Drosophila melanogaster: one gene and its partners. The protein of the gene in region 3 purifies or fractionates together with the protein of the main gene of each other region. This does not show direct contact. Each region holds a gene or a part of one and is shown on either strand. Other genes may lie near its edges.

Region 1 (3,502 bases), on a different chromosome or scaffold from region 3:
TGGATCGTGTGCAATTTATTCAATATGCGAAGAACAGCACTGGTTTGGATATCAGCTTCATCTGTGACGATTTGCTTAGAATGAACAATGAGCTGTCCAGAAAAAAACCACGCTATTTTGCAAACTGCAAAGAGCACAGAATGAAAATGCGAATAGGCAAAGCTTTGCTCGACCTAAGCGACAGATGGAAGTGGTCGGACAACCTGTGGGAAGCCGTCTTGTGCCCTAGCGATCAGCCTAACATTAGCTTTATGTACGAGTACCTTGTCTCCAAAATGCTGCCAAGCATCGATCTATTGCTGGAGCAGTTAAAGCTACTGGCAACTCTAAAACCGAGCCAGCAAATTTCGCTTGTCTCTGTAGTCCACATATACTGCTTGACTCGCTGGGAAAGCATACAACATGAACAGCTTGTCGAAGTATTTGCCGTCCTGTTGCCTCTCACAATGGGAGCAAATTTTCAGACTCGTTTGCTGGCCCAATTGGTTTTGCATCGGATTTGTAGCGAGTGCGAGGATCGAAGGTAATGAAATTAGTATTATATACTACTTGTTGCCGAATTTTATTAATATTTTGATATTTTTAGCATTCAAATGCCAATAGCTGATGCATTGAAGAAATCCATCAAGGTTACATTGAGCGAAAAATTAACTGAGTTTCAGTGCGAAGCTCGACTTTTGTTACCAGAACTAGGCAAACAATGCCCGACATCCGTTTCGGATTGCATTCTGATGATGACGAATGCACCATTTGATGAAAACATCAGTTTTATTAGTTGTTCCTATGACTTTCGAATGAAACTAAAGCGCGCCCTTGAAACGTTTAAACGGAAACAATCGGTTTTGATACCTGAGCTTGCAACGTCCTTGGCTGCATTAAACGGAAATGTGCAGCGAAAAATGAATCCCGTCGGAGATATATATCCGGAGAGTGACTTTGTTGTTTCGAACAAAGCTAGAGATGACCACGAACTCATTGTGGTGGCCTCGCTCATAGACAAATTGCCAAATCTGGGCGGATTGGCGCGTACCTGTGAAGTTCTGGGCGTTAATACCCTAATATTGGGTTTAAAATCACAGGCGGAGAAAAGCGATTTTACAAACTTGAGGTATGCACGTCAAACATCGCGGTAGCCCTATTATATTGCTTTATATAATTATAATTATATTATTTTAGCATGACTGCTGAGAAAACTTTAAACATACTTGAAGTGAATCCAGAATCGCTTGCTGGATTTCTGCTGGAAAAGCAAATGGAGGGTTATAAAATCGTTGGCGCCGAGCAAACTGCACACAGCACAAACTTTGTTGACTTTAAGTTTCCCAAGAAAAGCATTCTTCTTTTGGGGTTCGTAATCAACATCTTGGGCGTATTTTTTGAAAACTTATTGTTCTGCATCCCTCCTCAGGCATGAAAAACATGGAATACCAGCGAACCTTATTGGATTCTTGGACTACGCCGTCGAAATTCCCCAGTATGGCTTAGTGCGCTCTCTAAATGTACATGTGGCTGGATCACTATTTATTTGGGAATATTGTAAGCAGCACTTAAATTAAATTCATAATTTGACCACCAACAAATGCCTTTAACAAATAAAGTAAATACCTAAAAATATTGTACAAATGTTACTATATAAATGTTTTGTGTTGTATATATCTTAAAAAAAATACACCCAAAATAAATTACCTATATAAACTTAATTGTACTAGCTATTAGTATTATTTCTATTTTTTTAAATGTGTTTGTTTGCCTTCGGTGAATTAATCGAAGTAAATATAATTCATTCTCTTAAAGTTTCGCGCCTTGTTATCGATAACCAGTATTTACCGATGACGCTTGCCTGAAACAGCTGATCCTATAATCACAACATCACAACAAACCCATTGTAAACAACTTCGAAAAGACGAAAATGAGCTTCTCGGAAAACACCTCCGATTCTGAATGGTAAGTCCTTGAGGCCGGAAACTCTCAAATTCTATACGAATGCTTCGCTTATAGGAAGACAGACAAAATGCTAAAGGCGCGGACTGCTAAGAAATCTTTAAAGCTGGACAAGGAGCACAGAACTCTGAAACCTAAATATAACCAGAAGTTCTGCGAAAAGTGGCTCAAGATTTTCGATCCATGGCTCCGACGGGCGGCCGAGGATCCTAACAAGCCATTCTGCCGCGCTTGCCAGTGCACCATGGACTGCAATCGATGCCACCTGGTGCGGCACGAGCGAACCACCAAGCACAAGCGCAATCTGGAGGCTCTGCTCACAAAGGGCGAAGGCGCGGCGGTCCAGGAGTTCCGGATTCGCCAGCAGCGTAGCAAGTACTATCACCAGCGTAAATTGGTAGTGATGGAGCCCTTGGCTGAGAACCACGAGTTGGAGCCGCCTTCCACTCCAGAGCCTATGCCCGTGATGGCCATTGCTGATCAAAGCCTCTGTTCTGCAGCCAGTGAGAAGGTGACAGTACCCAAACAGGAGTTCTTATCAGAGACAGAGGTCACAACAAAGATGACCGAACCCCCGTCAAGCCATGCCAATTGCAGTGACAGCTCCTCTTCTGCCTCTAAGCAGGAGGGCATAAAGTTACTAATGCAGATCCACCAGGACAAAAACGAACTCATGGAATCCTTCCGCGAGCTGATGGGAAGCCAGAGGACCCTAAGTCACACACCGCCGCCCAAGGAGAAGAATCATGTGGATCTGTTTTTCGAAAGCGTCAGTTCCAGCGTGAAAGCCCTCTCGCCAAAGTTGGTAGCGGAAGCCAAGATGCGAGTATCGCAGCTGATCTGTGAGCTCGAGCTTCGCGGCCTCAGTGAAACCAGCCAAACGGACGCACTGAATCCAAACCCTCAAGCTAATGAATCGCTCGCACTGCGCCCATCATGACAATCCCTTGTCCTTCAGCATGAATTTAGAGGCATACATTAATTTTAAATTTAAAAATAAATGTTATCGATTTTTATAAGATCAATGCAAATATACTTTATTTGTTAGATATACGAATCAAACTATTCAAAATAGGTGCGAGAAATGGTATCGGACTGTTTATCGATAGGCTAGAGGCTACTGCTACTGCCATCTCCAAAGCGCGGCTGTGTTTTCTTCCAATGTTTATTAAATTTGAAGCAGCTAATGCAATTTAAAGGCTTAAGTGACAAAATATTCATAACATAAGAATGTGGAACACTTCAAATGTGTATGATGAAACGACCTCTGAAAATGGCGACAACGAAGAGCAGAAAGCTTCATACATTAAAGAAGATCATATAGAGGTATAATTACTAAGTTGCCCTTAAATTTACAAATATTTAAACGAAATTATGCATTTGCAGACCGAGAGGAAAAGTTTGCTACTCATCAAACGGAACAACGTAGCCCTACAGAAAAGACAGCTACCCTACTCAAGGCCAACGCCGCAGAACCGCCAGGAACTTGTCGAGAGCATCGAACAAGACCGTAAAGTGCTGTCGGCGTACTTCAAAAGGTTGAGCTCCCAGCGAGATGAAG
Region 2 (3,719 bases), 3.2 Mb from region 3:
ACCAAATGGAGGTGCGTCGGCGCAAGAGCGAGGTCATCACTAAGTTACAGGAGTCTGAGCAGCGACGCAAAATTCTGGAGATGGAGAAGGACATGGACCTGCTGATGCACAGTATTGAGCGTGAGCGTCGGCGTCACAACCAAGAAATGCAGCTGGCCGAAGATGAAATTCGTAACCAGGAGATGGAGCTCCTTGCCCAGCGCTACTACTCGGATACGGAGGGTGCTCCACTGGCACAGAAGTATTACGACAAAATCCAGAAACTTTGCTATCAGCGTGATCAGCTGCAGAAAAACTTGCGTGATGTATGTGATAAAAGATTTTAGATTGTATTCTGTGATCTCCTAAGTCTACTTTCTTCCGAACAGATGACCATGGAACAGCTGCGAACTCCAGCAACATCATCTGTGCAATTTAGTCCCCAGCTGGTGGATATCGAGAATTCCATTTTTGAGATACAGAGAGAGTTTACGGAAATCATAACCACAGACAAAACATTGGAGTACAGAAGGAATTTAACTTAACTGAGGCTTTTTTGTACGAATAAACTACAAGGCTAGGATTATGTACATGGCACTAGAAAATAAATAAACAAGGCATATTGGTTATTTCTTGGCCGCGCTTGCGTTGCTGGCGGACGAAGGCACTAACACGTTGGGCACATTGATGAGCAAGTGTATACTGGATGGTGGAATCCGCAGCTGGTCGGCCACCACTATAAACGAAAATAAATTAACTTAACTTCAGGAATGGTTTATTAAAGCTTACCGCCAGCTAAGCTGCTGTGACTCCTGTGCTGCTGCAGTTCCTTTTCTAATCTGGAAATTCTTTCGTGCAGTTCTTGATTCTCCTGCTGCAGCTGGGCGTTCTGTTTGATGAGGTCCTTATGCTCGTTTCGCATCTTGTTACGGTAACGAGAGGCTGCTGCTCTTCGTCGCTCCATACAATCCTCGTCCCGACTGCGATCCTTTGCTTTCGCAGCCTTGGGCGGTGTGGAGAAACTTCGTCTGTTATTATTGCTGTGGATAATGGCCTTCAATCGCTCCTTGATGGGCAGCTGTGAGGTGGGCGTCAGACTGGCGCTACTGGGCTCGTTATTAGGTGGGTTGCAACTGACCAAAATAGGCTCGGGTCTTTTACTGGTCTTGTTTAATTCTTTCGCAGTGGGTTTCGGCAGTATGAAGGGATGAATGGCACCAGTCGGCTTCACCCTGTTTCTGTTACAATCAACTGTAGCGATGGAAATGGGAACTGACTGCGCAGGCAGCACCCATGTTAGGACCTGGGGCTGGATCAACTGCAGCGGCGGCGGACCATCTTGACTGGCTTTGGAAGGCGAGGTAACTGTCGTGGCCAGAAGCTGGTCCACATCCATATCGCCGCAGCTGACACTTTGTGGGACCTGATTTTCAGACGGAACTGATACCACGGTGGGGGCCTCGACGGGATACACCTGGGGCGTGTGCAGGGACTCACCGTCATTGGGTCGAGCCTCTGGGCGACTCGGAGTGCCGCTGACATTTCGCTCCGCTGCTTGCTGGAATCCAATGTCAAATGGATTTACGTGCTGCAGGTCCTCGAAGAGACCCACCTCGTCGCAGTTCTTGATGAGTCGCGTAGGCGTGGGCGTTTGGTCGGCGGCAAATAGAGTGTCTGACTTCTGCCCGAGAGAAATGTCTAGCGAAACATGTTCCGTCTGTGCCCGAAAGTTCTGATAGCAGGATACGTCGCCCTCTGGGGATTTTGTCTCAAAGTCGCCGAAGGACACACTGGCCAGGTGATCCATGTCTCCGGCGGTGTCCATGTCAGAAGTTACATCAAAATCATGCTATTTACAAATCAAACTCCATAATCTGCCGACAATTCTCAATTAAAACAACTATTTTGTAAATCACATTAGCAAAACAAAAAATAAAATTGTTATCGATGTATGGATGTGTTATTGAACCTATCGGACTCCATTAAGAAACCAACTCTGGCTGCAGTGCTGGAAAAGGTACTAAGTTCTTCTGCCGTAATTACGATGTAAAATGTATTTTATTACTGGTAGAACAAAGATCATAACGTAGAACTTAAAATAAATCAAATAAATACTGAATAATCTTCATTGTGTAACAAAATAAGTAAAGGAATTTTCAAACCTCGATATAATGTATATTTTATATGTTGTTTACCTTAGCACAGTAGTGATGTGTGCAAACCGATATATCGATACCGCGAGTGGGTGCAAAAAAGGCGCGCGAATGTTTTCAATTTGAATCTGGTTACCAATAAATACTGTGTGTAAAAAATACCCCTCTGTCATGAGACCCTTATTATTCCTAGCCTTTCTGTGTTTGAAGCTGTTATGCAACCACTCTTGACATTCGGCATTTCCGCAACGAAATTGCGTATCTGCCATCGCATCCAAAATGCCAAAATGCGAGTCTTCGGCACGTAGAAGCAATCATATGTGAAGAAGAGGAAGGTAAAGCGAAGAAAAAACATCGAAACATTTTTGGTAGCCAAGAAAACCCCATAATTTAAAATTTGTATCTTTTAAATTAGATTTCTCATTGGAGGAACAAGCAGAAAACAGACAGCGGACAAAACAACACGCAAAATGATTTCAAGCCGCTCGCATTTTGGGAAATATGCACGCAACGAAACGAGCAATTTTCTAAAACTCTGCCGCACAAAAAGCAGCAGACTCGACTTGTGGGTCAAGTTCAGTGCTTAAATTGTTCCCAGCGAGAAGATGGAGGACCCCTTCCGGCCCTCGTCCTCGTTGTTCACCACCACTCCAATCCGCTCCGTTTGCGAGGAGGAAGGGCCGCAAGATGCACAGCATGAAAATTAAGAAAAAGTGATGCGTAATTACAGTCATTCTCTTTCACTGCAGCCAAGCGGGCTATTCCACACAGCCATACCCTTGGCCATGTCCCGATCTCGATCCCATCCCATCCCATTCCATCCCATCCCTGCCACGTTGCATGCAACGGACGCGCGTTTTTCGGACAGCGTGGTCCATGGTCCATGGAGCTATGGGATGGAGATGGGTTCCGATCCTCGGCTCTGGATTCTCGTTTCTCGGACTGCGCTGCTGCCGGTAGAAACAATCAGTTTGAAGTTCGTTCGCATAATTATGGGCAATTTTCAAAGAACATGCGTTCCGATGAACATCTCTCTCTTGCCCGCATTCAAAGTATCCATACCCATCAGCTCCTTTTCCTGCCCCACCGCCACATCCTTTCCATCATCGCACTGCAACCTCGCCATTTTTCTTACTGTCCGTCGGTCTCTGTGGTTAGGATCAAGTGGCTGAGTGCACAAAATTTTTTTCCAAACTTGGAATAGCTTGCGATCAGGCTAAAGTAAAGCTTGAGAACAAATGTTTGAATAAGTTCCATAAGAACTTGAATTTTATTTGAAAAATATGTAATATAAAGGTATAGCAGTCCTCATAGTGATACATTGGTATTTAAGACTTGACCAGATTAACCATTCCATTTTAGCAAAGACACGTTTGGCATGACCCTAGCGTTGGTTACCAACTTGATGATCAGGTTTCTGGCCCTAGGAAATTTGCAAAGGAGTCAAGGACCGCAATTGGCCATAACGGCATGTGCGGCCTACAGGATCCGGCTGGTATCCAGCTCAGAGGATCACACTGTCCTTTCATAAATATTCAAAAACGGAGTTCCTCGAACGCCCAACATTTGTTTTCCCCTGCTGCAAGT
Region 3 (3,156 bases):
CCCTGGAGGACATGAAGGTGGTGGATCTCTAAGATTTCATAGCCAATTCCATATTATTTGTCTAACTATTGTAACAAAATATTCTGCGATATAAACTTTGTGTGCATAACTATTTAATCGGCTGAAAGGCGGATAACACCGCTTCCACAATTGTGGGTACCTCCGCCATGGCGCCGTTGCCAGTATCACCGCACATCAGAGTCTTGGATATGCAGGGTATCTCCTTGTAGCCCCAACTGGTCAGCTTGTCGATCTGCTCCCGAGTTATTGGATGGTCGTACATACGGGTATTCATCGCAGGTGCAAAGAGCAGCGGCTTCTCAAGGTCCCAGGCCCGCACCACACACATGACGATATTATCGCAAATCCCCTGTCATAAAAAAGATACTGAAATAATGTTCTGGGTAAAATGTCGACCCAAACTTACGGTGGCCATTTTGGACAGAGAGTTTGCGCTGAGTGGGGCTATTACCAACAAATCCGCCCACTTGCCTAGATCTATGTGGAGTACAGGATCTCCTCGCTTGTTCCAGGTGATCCACTCGTCGCGATTGTGGTAAATGGGTACTACAATATATGCAATAGTTTGTTAGTTAAAGTTAACAAATACCCGAAGATTTAGACAACCTACCATTTTCGGGAATCTGCTCCAGTTCAAAGAAGTGTTTGGCTGCTTCGGTAATAAGTACTTTCAGGTGGAACTTAAAGGGTAGGCGCTCGTCGGAGAGCTCTCGGATTAACTGGGCTAACTTAATGGTGGCCACACTTCCGGTGGCCGCTATCATCACATTACGTTCGGGTTTCATGGCTCACAATGCCGGCTATTGCTTCTGCACCTCCGGTTCTTTTTGATCGGTCTTGGTACTCTGGTCGTGAAAGCCCAACTTGGACCACTCGGTTTTCTCCATAAGATTGTTGTCCATGCGACAGGCCAGGTAGTTCTGGGCGTCCTGGCGGCACTGGCTCGTATCCTGGGCGTTCTTGCGCAGACAACTGGCGTAGAGGAGGAATTGCTTCTTGCAGAGACCTTCGTGGTCCAGGGGAAAGGAACCCTTCTCGGGCGGCGTGGGCACGAACTTCTTCTGGCTGTAGATCTGCGAAGTCATTTGTGAGTTGCTCTGCTCGCTCCTTATCTTAATTCATTGATAAAATATGACTTAAAATTACGAAATAATTGTGTAAACAGCAAGTCAGTGTGACCAGAGAATGTTGGGAACCACAAGTTGAAAAACATTCGGAGTTACAAAGGTCACTTTCAAATCTTATATGAACTTAAATATTGAGAATCTTATAAGATAAAAAAATGAATAAGGTTTCAAGTATGAAATTCAAAATCTTAAATATGCTAAAGCAATAAATACTCACAATGTTGCTAACATATTTATCACTGATACTGATAATTAACATGTAGCATTTAAAATTTGCAATTTTTAAATTATATTAAAGCCATTGACAAACATATAAAGTAATTTGGCTGATTAAGTGATAAATAAGTACAGTTCCAGAAAACAAATCAACCTAGCAATACAGATTCACTCTGATTCCGAACCAACTCAAATCACAGTTTCCCAATACAGTGACTTCGATTGAAAGGAATAACCCTATGTGACAGCTGTCACACGTGCCAGTGATAAAAAATCCCGCACACCTTCCAACGGAACGCGTTAGTGTGTCGTTTTTTCGTAGCAGGCTATGTCGTTGGGCAACGCAGGGCGAATCGCTGTCTGTTGGTTTGTAGAAAAATCGTTTTTAGTTACACACACTTAGCTTTACTACATGGTGTTTGAAAATCCCGAAACAGGACTGTTTTGACCGTGGGTGGCGTCTACGCATTTGTGCTGTCAAAGAGATCCGTTGAGAACCGGCGTTACGAGAGCATGCGAGTGCGTGAGCGCATGAGGAAGGCAAACCAAGGGGATTACGACTCAAGCGCAGCATCGGACAGGCGATTCGATTACTAAGCGGCAGCATCCAGTACCTAAAACCCATCAGTAACACACCCACACCCACACAATGGCATTGCCCCAGATCAGCACCGCAGACCAGGCCAAGCTGCAGCTGATGCAGGAAATGGAGATCGAAATGATGTCCGATTTATATAACCGCATGACGAACGCTTGCCACAAAAAGTGCATTCCGCCGCGCTACTCCGAGTCGGAGTTGGGTGAGTACCATAGCCATATAGAATGCTGTATCTAGTTCGCAGCTCTTTCTATGACAATCACTTCAGGTTTCTCTTTGATTCGATTGATGAAATTTAAATAGAAATCTTGAAACTTGTACCACAATTCTACACTTGTAATTTTAATGCTTTCCGCACCCTACAGGCAAAGGCGAGATGGTGTGCATCGATCGCTGTGTGGCCAAATATCTGGACATTCACGAGAAGATCGGCAAGAAGCTGACGGCCATGTCCATGCAGGACGAGGAGCTGATGAAGAAGATGTCTAGTTAACCTGGCACCCATTAACCCACATTTCCGCTTAACCAATGTGCATTTTTGAAGCGCTACGATTGTTAGAGGTACATGTACAAAACACCCCGTTGTAGAGAATAAACCACAGATTTATGTGTGCTACATAATATCAGACCTCGTTGACACAGATTAATGCATTCAAAAGGTGGTGACAAAGCGCGACATTTCCGGCAGCATGACACTCAGATCCTCGATGTTGTTCTCCAGCGCACTCTCGTCCGTTGTGTCCAGTTCGCTGGTCCGCACGCTGTTCGCCCAGTCGGAGGAGTCTAGATCCTGTCCTGCTCCTCGCGCCTGATCCTCCTGCTGTTCCTGGGCGTTGAGGCTAGCTCGACTGGCGAGACCATCGCAAATATTGGCGGGATCTGACGGCAGCTCCACATAAAGGTTCGTCTGGCGCTGTAAAATTCAGAGAAATTCAACAAAAAGAAACACAAAGGTTAATTTGGAGCTTCACCAAAGCCATTAGCTGTAGATCGCGGTGCAGGCTGATGGGATTCTTGGACAGGTTGAGCATGTGAAGAGTCCGCAACTCCTCCAGTTGTGACCGCGTGGGCATCTCGTCAATACAATTTTCGTTGAGAAAAGCAAACCGCAGCTTCTGCATGGCCATCAGCATCCTGGGCAGCCGTCGCAATCGATTCCCCTTAAGATTCAGATGCACCAAATTTCCCAGCAAC
Region 4 (3,999 bases), on a different chromosome or scaffold from region 3:
CGGGTAACAGAGTTAATCCGACTGAACTACTCCCATGATATATCGCCGCATTTACCTCGTTTGGGTTTCGGAAAGGATTCGTGCAGCACAAAGACCACCTTCTCCACAAAAGCACTGATGTCCGCCTTGTTCACGCCCTGAACGTAGATCTCCCAGTCGTGCGTAAAGGCCTGCGGATGCGGTGTCTTCTTGCTGCGCAGCTTCGACGTGTGGCCAATTTCGAATTGCACCTTGACCGCCATGCCTGTGGGTAGGGCATCAAGTTCCAGTGATTGCCTGCAATTAAGTGGTGAATTAAGATGCTACGTATTAGCGCGCCAAAACCAATGCAACTCGAGTGTGCAAGCACTTAAGCTTGATGCGACGTAAACAAATGATCGCCAGTTATGTGGAAAGGCCCAATGGATTGCCAAACGAGGTGTTAGCCAAGTATTGCGCTCCTTGCTTTCGCTTCAGTGTGCATGCGTGATTTCTAATGCGAATCCTGTGGCAGGTCACGTCCTCCAAGTCTGCGCCTGGCTTTGGAAACCTTTCAATCGGTCTCAGGATGCCCGCACTAGCTACCACATTTTGAATATCCTTTGATAACCGACGTTTTTTGTTATGATTCGCTTTGCGTTCAATTTGTTATTGTTTGTGAGCGAATGTGTGCCACAATGTGGACTTTTCATGTTGCAAGCTTTCGCCGTGTTTGTGGTTTCCTTTAGCCACATGCCCCCACCAGCCACGCTTTATACTTACTATCGCGCCGTGCGGCATTCACATGGAGATGCGCACAATTTTCAGAAAAAACGTAAAAGCTTGGAGCCAGAATCGAAGTAAATTTTGGAAAAACACAGAAAATAAAATCCAAAATGGTAAAGTGTGACCAAAGTTCGGGGCACCAAAAAATACACTTGAGTCGGGTAAAATATACTAGAATATGCGTTGCGTTTACTTTTTCTAGGGTGGCTCGTGAAATTAGTTTTAAATATGTACATATATCTAGTTTAAATTCATTCAGATTTTTAACTCGATGCATTTTTTAAAGAATAGAGTGCTTTATTTGTTTCTTAGTAGAAAAAGTATAGTTTCTTGCCACATGGTCCTTGGGGCCCATTTCCGCACGGAACTGGGGATGGTGCCGCCGAAGTGGTTGAAGTATCAGAGGAGGCTTCCGTCGTGGTTGTCGAGGTGGAGGATGCAGCGAATCCAACGATGGCGCACAGAAGGAACAGAATGGCGAAGAACTTCATCTTGATTACTCTTTTGTGACTGTGATATTTTCCCGGGGATAGTTGCTCAATTTTATACCTTTCATTTTTAGATTTGCAAATATTGACACAAATGCTTCAATTCCGCCTATGTACCAAATATCAAGAGAAAAGAAACAATTCGGCAAACACTGCGTGGTACTTAAATAATGTGTTTTGTGTTTGTTTAGAAATAGCAACACATGGAATTTCGCTTTTTGCCACTTACAGGTTAAGCTTTTAAGCATAGCACGCGGATTCAGACAAGATGATATATATATGGGAAATTTTTATATTGCATGATCATTGTTTTTAAGGAACCCGCATAAACCAAAATAGTCAGCAAAAGCTTCTGTGATCCGGAACCAGTTCGGCCGCCTGTTTGGTTCACAGCACTTAAAAGAACACTTGGGAAAAACAATAAAAATATTTCGCAAAAGTTATGGCGAACGCTGGATAAGTCAGCCAAAAATTGAATCCATCGGAGCGACTGCCTTGGAGCCACAGCCCACCCATGATGACGACCGACTTCGCGGGCAGCCAGTTCGTGTCCAGCAATCCCAACACCAGCTGTAGTGCATCCCGCTGGCTAACGGAGGAGGTATTTGCATGGATATGCAATTTGAAAATGATTTGATTCACATATTTCTGTTGTTCTGTAGGTCTTTAAACTAATCGAAATTGTGCAGCGCGACGAGGCCATCTACAATCCGAGGCACAAATACTACTTTTGCCGCCCGTACGTGGAGAACTTTTGGCGCGAGGTGGATTTGAAGCTGGAAAAGAATCCGGGCGCCAGTCTGGCCAAGTGGACCAATTTGCGCATCTCGTTCCGACGAGAGTACACCAACTATCTGGAGGAAAAGGTGCCACCCTGCTGGTCCTACTTCGACCGCATGTTCTTTCTGCATCCGTATCTACGCAAGAAGCACCAGCAGCCCAAATCGCTGGACACACAGGTGCAGGACGCCCTGGCACACCTCTCGAACCTTTCTAGTCGTATGCAGCGTGAGCGTTCAGTGACCATTCCGGGCAGCAGCAGTATTGGTGGCCAGCCCACGCCCTCCGCCCACCAGTCACCACCTGCACAGCAGCTGGACAACTATCTGGACTACTTTGACGAGGCGGAACACAACAACTCCGAGCTGGATGACATCATGGAGGAGGAGCAGCAGCGCAACAGTCGTTACCACGGCCAGTTGGACGGCAACGACATTAAGTCGGAGTGCGAGGAGCCGGTGGATGACTACGAACAAGAGGCGCACGAGCCCGAGGAGGATGAACAGGATGACCAGGACCTACACAAGATGGCGCCTACTTCTAGCTCTTCATCGGCGGAGGCCCAGCGTCGTTATGCCAACCAGCATTCACACGCCAGCCGAATGCTTCCGGGTCGCCTCCAAATGCGCACCTACCATGACGAGATGCGTGGCGCTATTCGTCCGCGTTCCCAGGAACTCCAAGCTCCAACTGCAGCAGTGGCCGGGGTCAACTACTCCGCACAGCCGACTGCCCATCCAAACATTTCGTTTGTGCGACCTACTTTCAGCAAGCCCGTGGATTTGGTTAGCACTACAACGCACGCCGGAGGCGGAGGAGGAGGAGGTGTTCCAGGAACTGCTGGCTTATCCGAAGCGGAACTGCCCACACCATCCACTGCGGCCGTGGCCACCCCGATGGCGCCCAGTAGTAGTGTTAGTGCCAGCAGTAGCAGTAGCTACTTGAGTCAACGGCATGGGCACAACCATATGCATGGAGGACATCCACAGGTGCCGCCGTCAGCGCTTCCTCTGCGTTTGGAAGCCAACAACGCGTCCGGCGGATCCGTGTCCAACGGCGGTGCGGAGCTGTGCGACTGCAAGACCGATCCGGATGCCATGTTTCTGATGAGCCTGCTGCCCGACATCCAAAAGCTGAACGGCCGTGATCGCGGCAAGATAAAGATAGCCTTCCAGAACATCCTGCAGGACTACCTGTATCCGGATTAGCGTTGATCTCTGTGTATACCTTCCGCTTAACGCAAACGGAACCCAGTTCCAGTATCGATTTTGTTTAATATTCTCTTTTGTATTTTCGTTGGAGAAAAAAAAAGAATCCTTTAAGCTTCGCTGTGCAAGAACAAAGTATCCTTAAAAACGTTTTGAAAACTATCCGGTATGTTTATTAATTGTATAAATATTTATAAATATTTAATGTGTAACACAAGAATAAATTCATTTGAAATTATGCGATATATGGCTAGGTAACTTGAAGTATCACATGAGGATCGGAATGGGTTGCATCCCATCCTCACTCGAACAGCTTCAGCTCGCGGGTGATCTTCTTGATCTTGTTGTCCAGCGTCTTGTCCTCGTGCTCGCAGATGTAGTAGTGCCGCGAGGTGCACTCCTGTCCGTAGTACACATAGCTGTGCTTTCCGGCATTGTAACTTAGCCGTAGGCAGCGACCCTTGCCCTCTATTTGCACCGTGTTGTTCAGCACATCCTCGCCGGTCGCCTCCTCTGCCGCCTGCTCCGAACTGTCCACCAGATTGGCGGCCGTCGAGTTCTCCCCCTTCTGGGCCATCGCAATGGATGTGAGATTCATGTTGGGATTCACCGGCTTAGCCGAATTGGACCAGATCCAGAGGAGGCCAGGATTGAGACCGCCCAGCCAGTAATCGCGACCACGATGCGTCGGCTGATTCAGCAGATAGGCCATGATCTCCTCATTCTCCGAGACCTTCTCGAACTCGGCCAGGTGGGAGTTTAGACCCTTGCAGGCAGAG

The links.
Region 1: the proteins of Tim10 (region 3) and CG34149 purify together in Drosophila melanogaster (affinity purification with mass spectrometry, with the first as the bait; one large-scale study listed by BioGRID). This does not show direct contact.
Region 2: the proteins of Tim10 (region 3) and Atf-2 purify together in Drosophila melanogaster (affinity purification with mass spectrometry, with the first as the bait; one large-scale study listed by BioGRID). This does not show direct contact.
Region 4: the proteins of Tim10 (region 3) and CG6276 purify together in Drosophila melanogaster (affinity purification with mass spectrometry, with the first as the bait; one large-scale study listed by BioGRID). This does not show direct contact.

What each region holds. Positions count from the first base shown.
Region 1 is NT_033777.3:22,378,258-22,381,759, forward strand, and holds CG34149 (uncharacterized protein), read left to right. Parts: upstream 1-1,870; 5' UTR 1,871-1,909; coding exon 1,910-1,944; intron 1,945-1,998; coding exon 1,999-2,881; 3' UTR 2,882-2,996; downstream 2,997-3,502. Other genes in the region: CG18596 (uncharacterized protein), read left to right, coding at 1-523, 587-1,108, 1,177-1,347, 1,409-1,556; CG43342 (uncharacterized protein), read left to right, coding at 3,172-3,267, 3,328-3,502.
Region 2 is NT_033778.4:24,868,295-24,872,013, reverse strand, and holds Atf-2 (activating transcription factor-2), read right to left. Parts: upstream 1,907-3,719; 5' UTR 1,805-1,906; coding exon 769-1,804; intron 716-768; coding exon 606-715; 3' UTR 525-605; downstream 1-524. Other genes in the region: CG16896 (uncharacterized protein), read left to right, coding at 1-305, 369-524.
Region 3 is NT_033778.4:21,689,646-21,692,801, reverse strand, and holds Tim10 (translocase of inner membrane 10), read left to right. Parts: upstream 1-1,662; 5' UTR 1,663-1,692; coding exon of another isoform or gene 1,693-1,730; 5' UTR 1,731-1,801; coding exon of another isoform or gene 1,802-1,961; 5' UTR 1,962-2,013; coding exon 2,014-2,164; intron 2,165-2,327; coding exon 2,328-2,455; 3' UTR 2,456-2,587; downstream 2,588-3,156. Other genes in the region: CngB (cyclic nucleotide-gated ion channel subunit B), read left to right, coding at 1-32; Ppcdc (phosphopantothenoylcysteine decarboxylase), read right to left, coding at 110-370, 428-567, 632-806; CG42496 (uncharacterized protein), read right to left, coding at 822-1,106; CG42497 (uncharacterized protein), read left to right, coding at 1,693-1,730, 1,802-1,961; CG10307 (uncharacterized protein), read right to left, coding at 2,615-2,875, 2,934-3,156. UniProt on the Drosophila melanogaster protein: Mitochondrial intermembrane chaperone that participates in the import and insertion of multi-pass transmembrane proteins into the mitochondrial inner membrane.
Region 4 is NT_033777.3:15,317,661-15,321,659, reverse strand, and holds CG6276 (uncharacterized protein), read left to right. Parts: upstream 1-1,590; 5' UTR 1,591-1,746; coding exon 1,747-1,833; intron 1,834-1,894; coding exon 1,895-3,220; 3' UTR 3,221-3,457; downstream 3,458-3,999. Other genes in the region: ear (ENL/AF9-related), read right to left, coding at 56-242; CG44040 (uncharacterized protein), read right to left, coding at 1,053-1,235; CG14866 (uncharacterized protein), read right to left, coding at 3,522-3,999.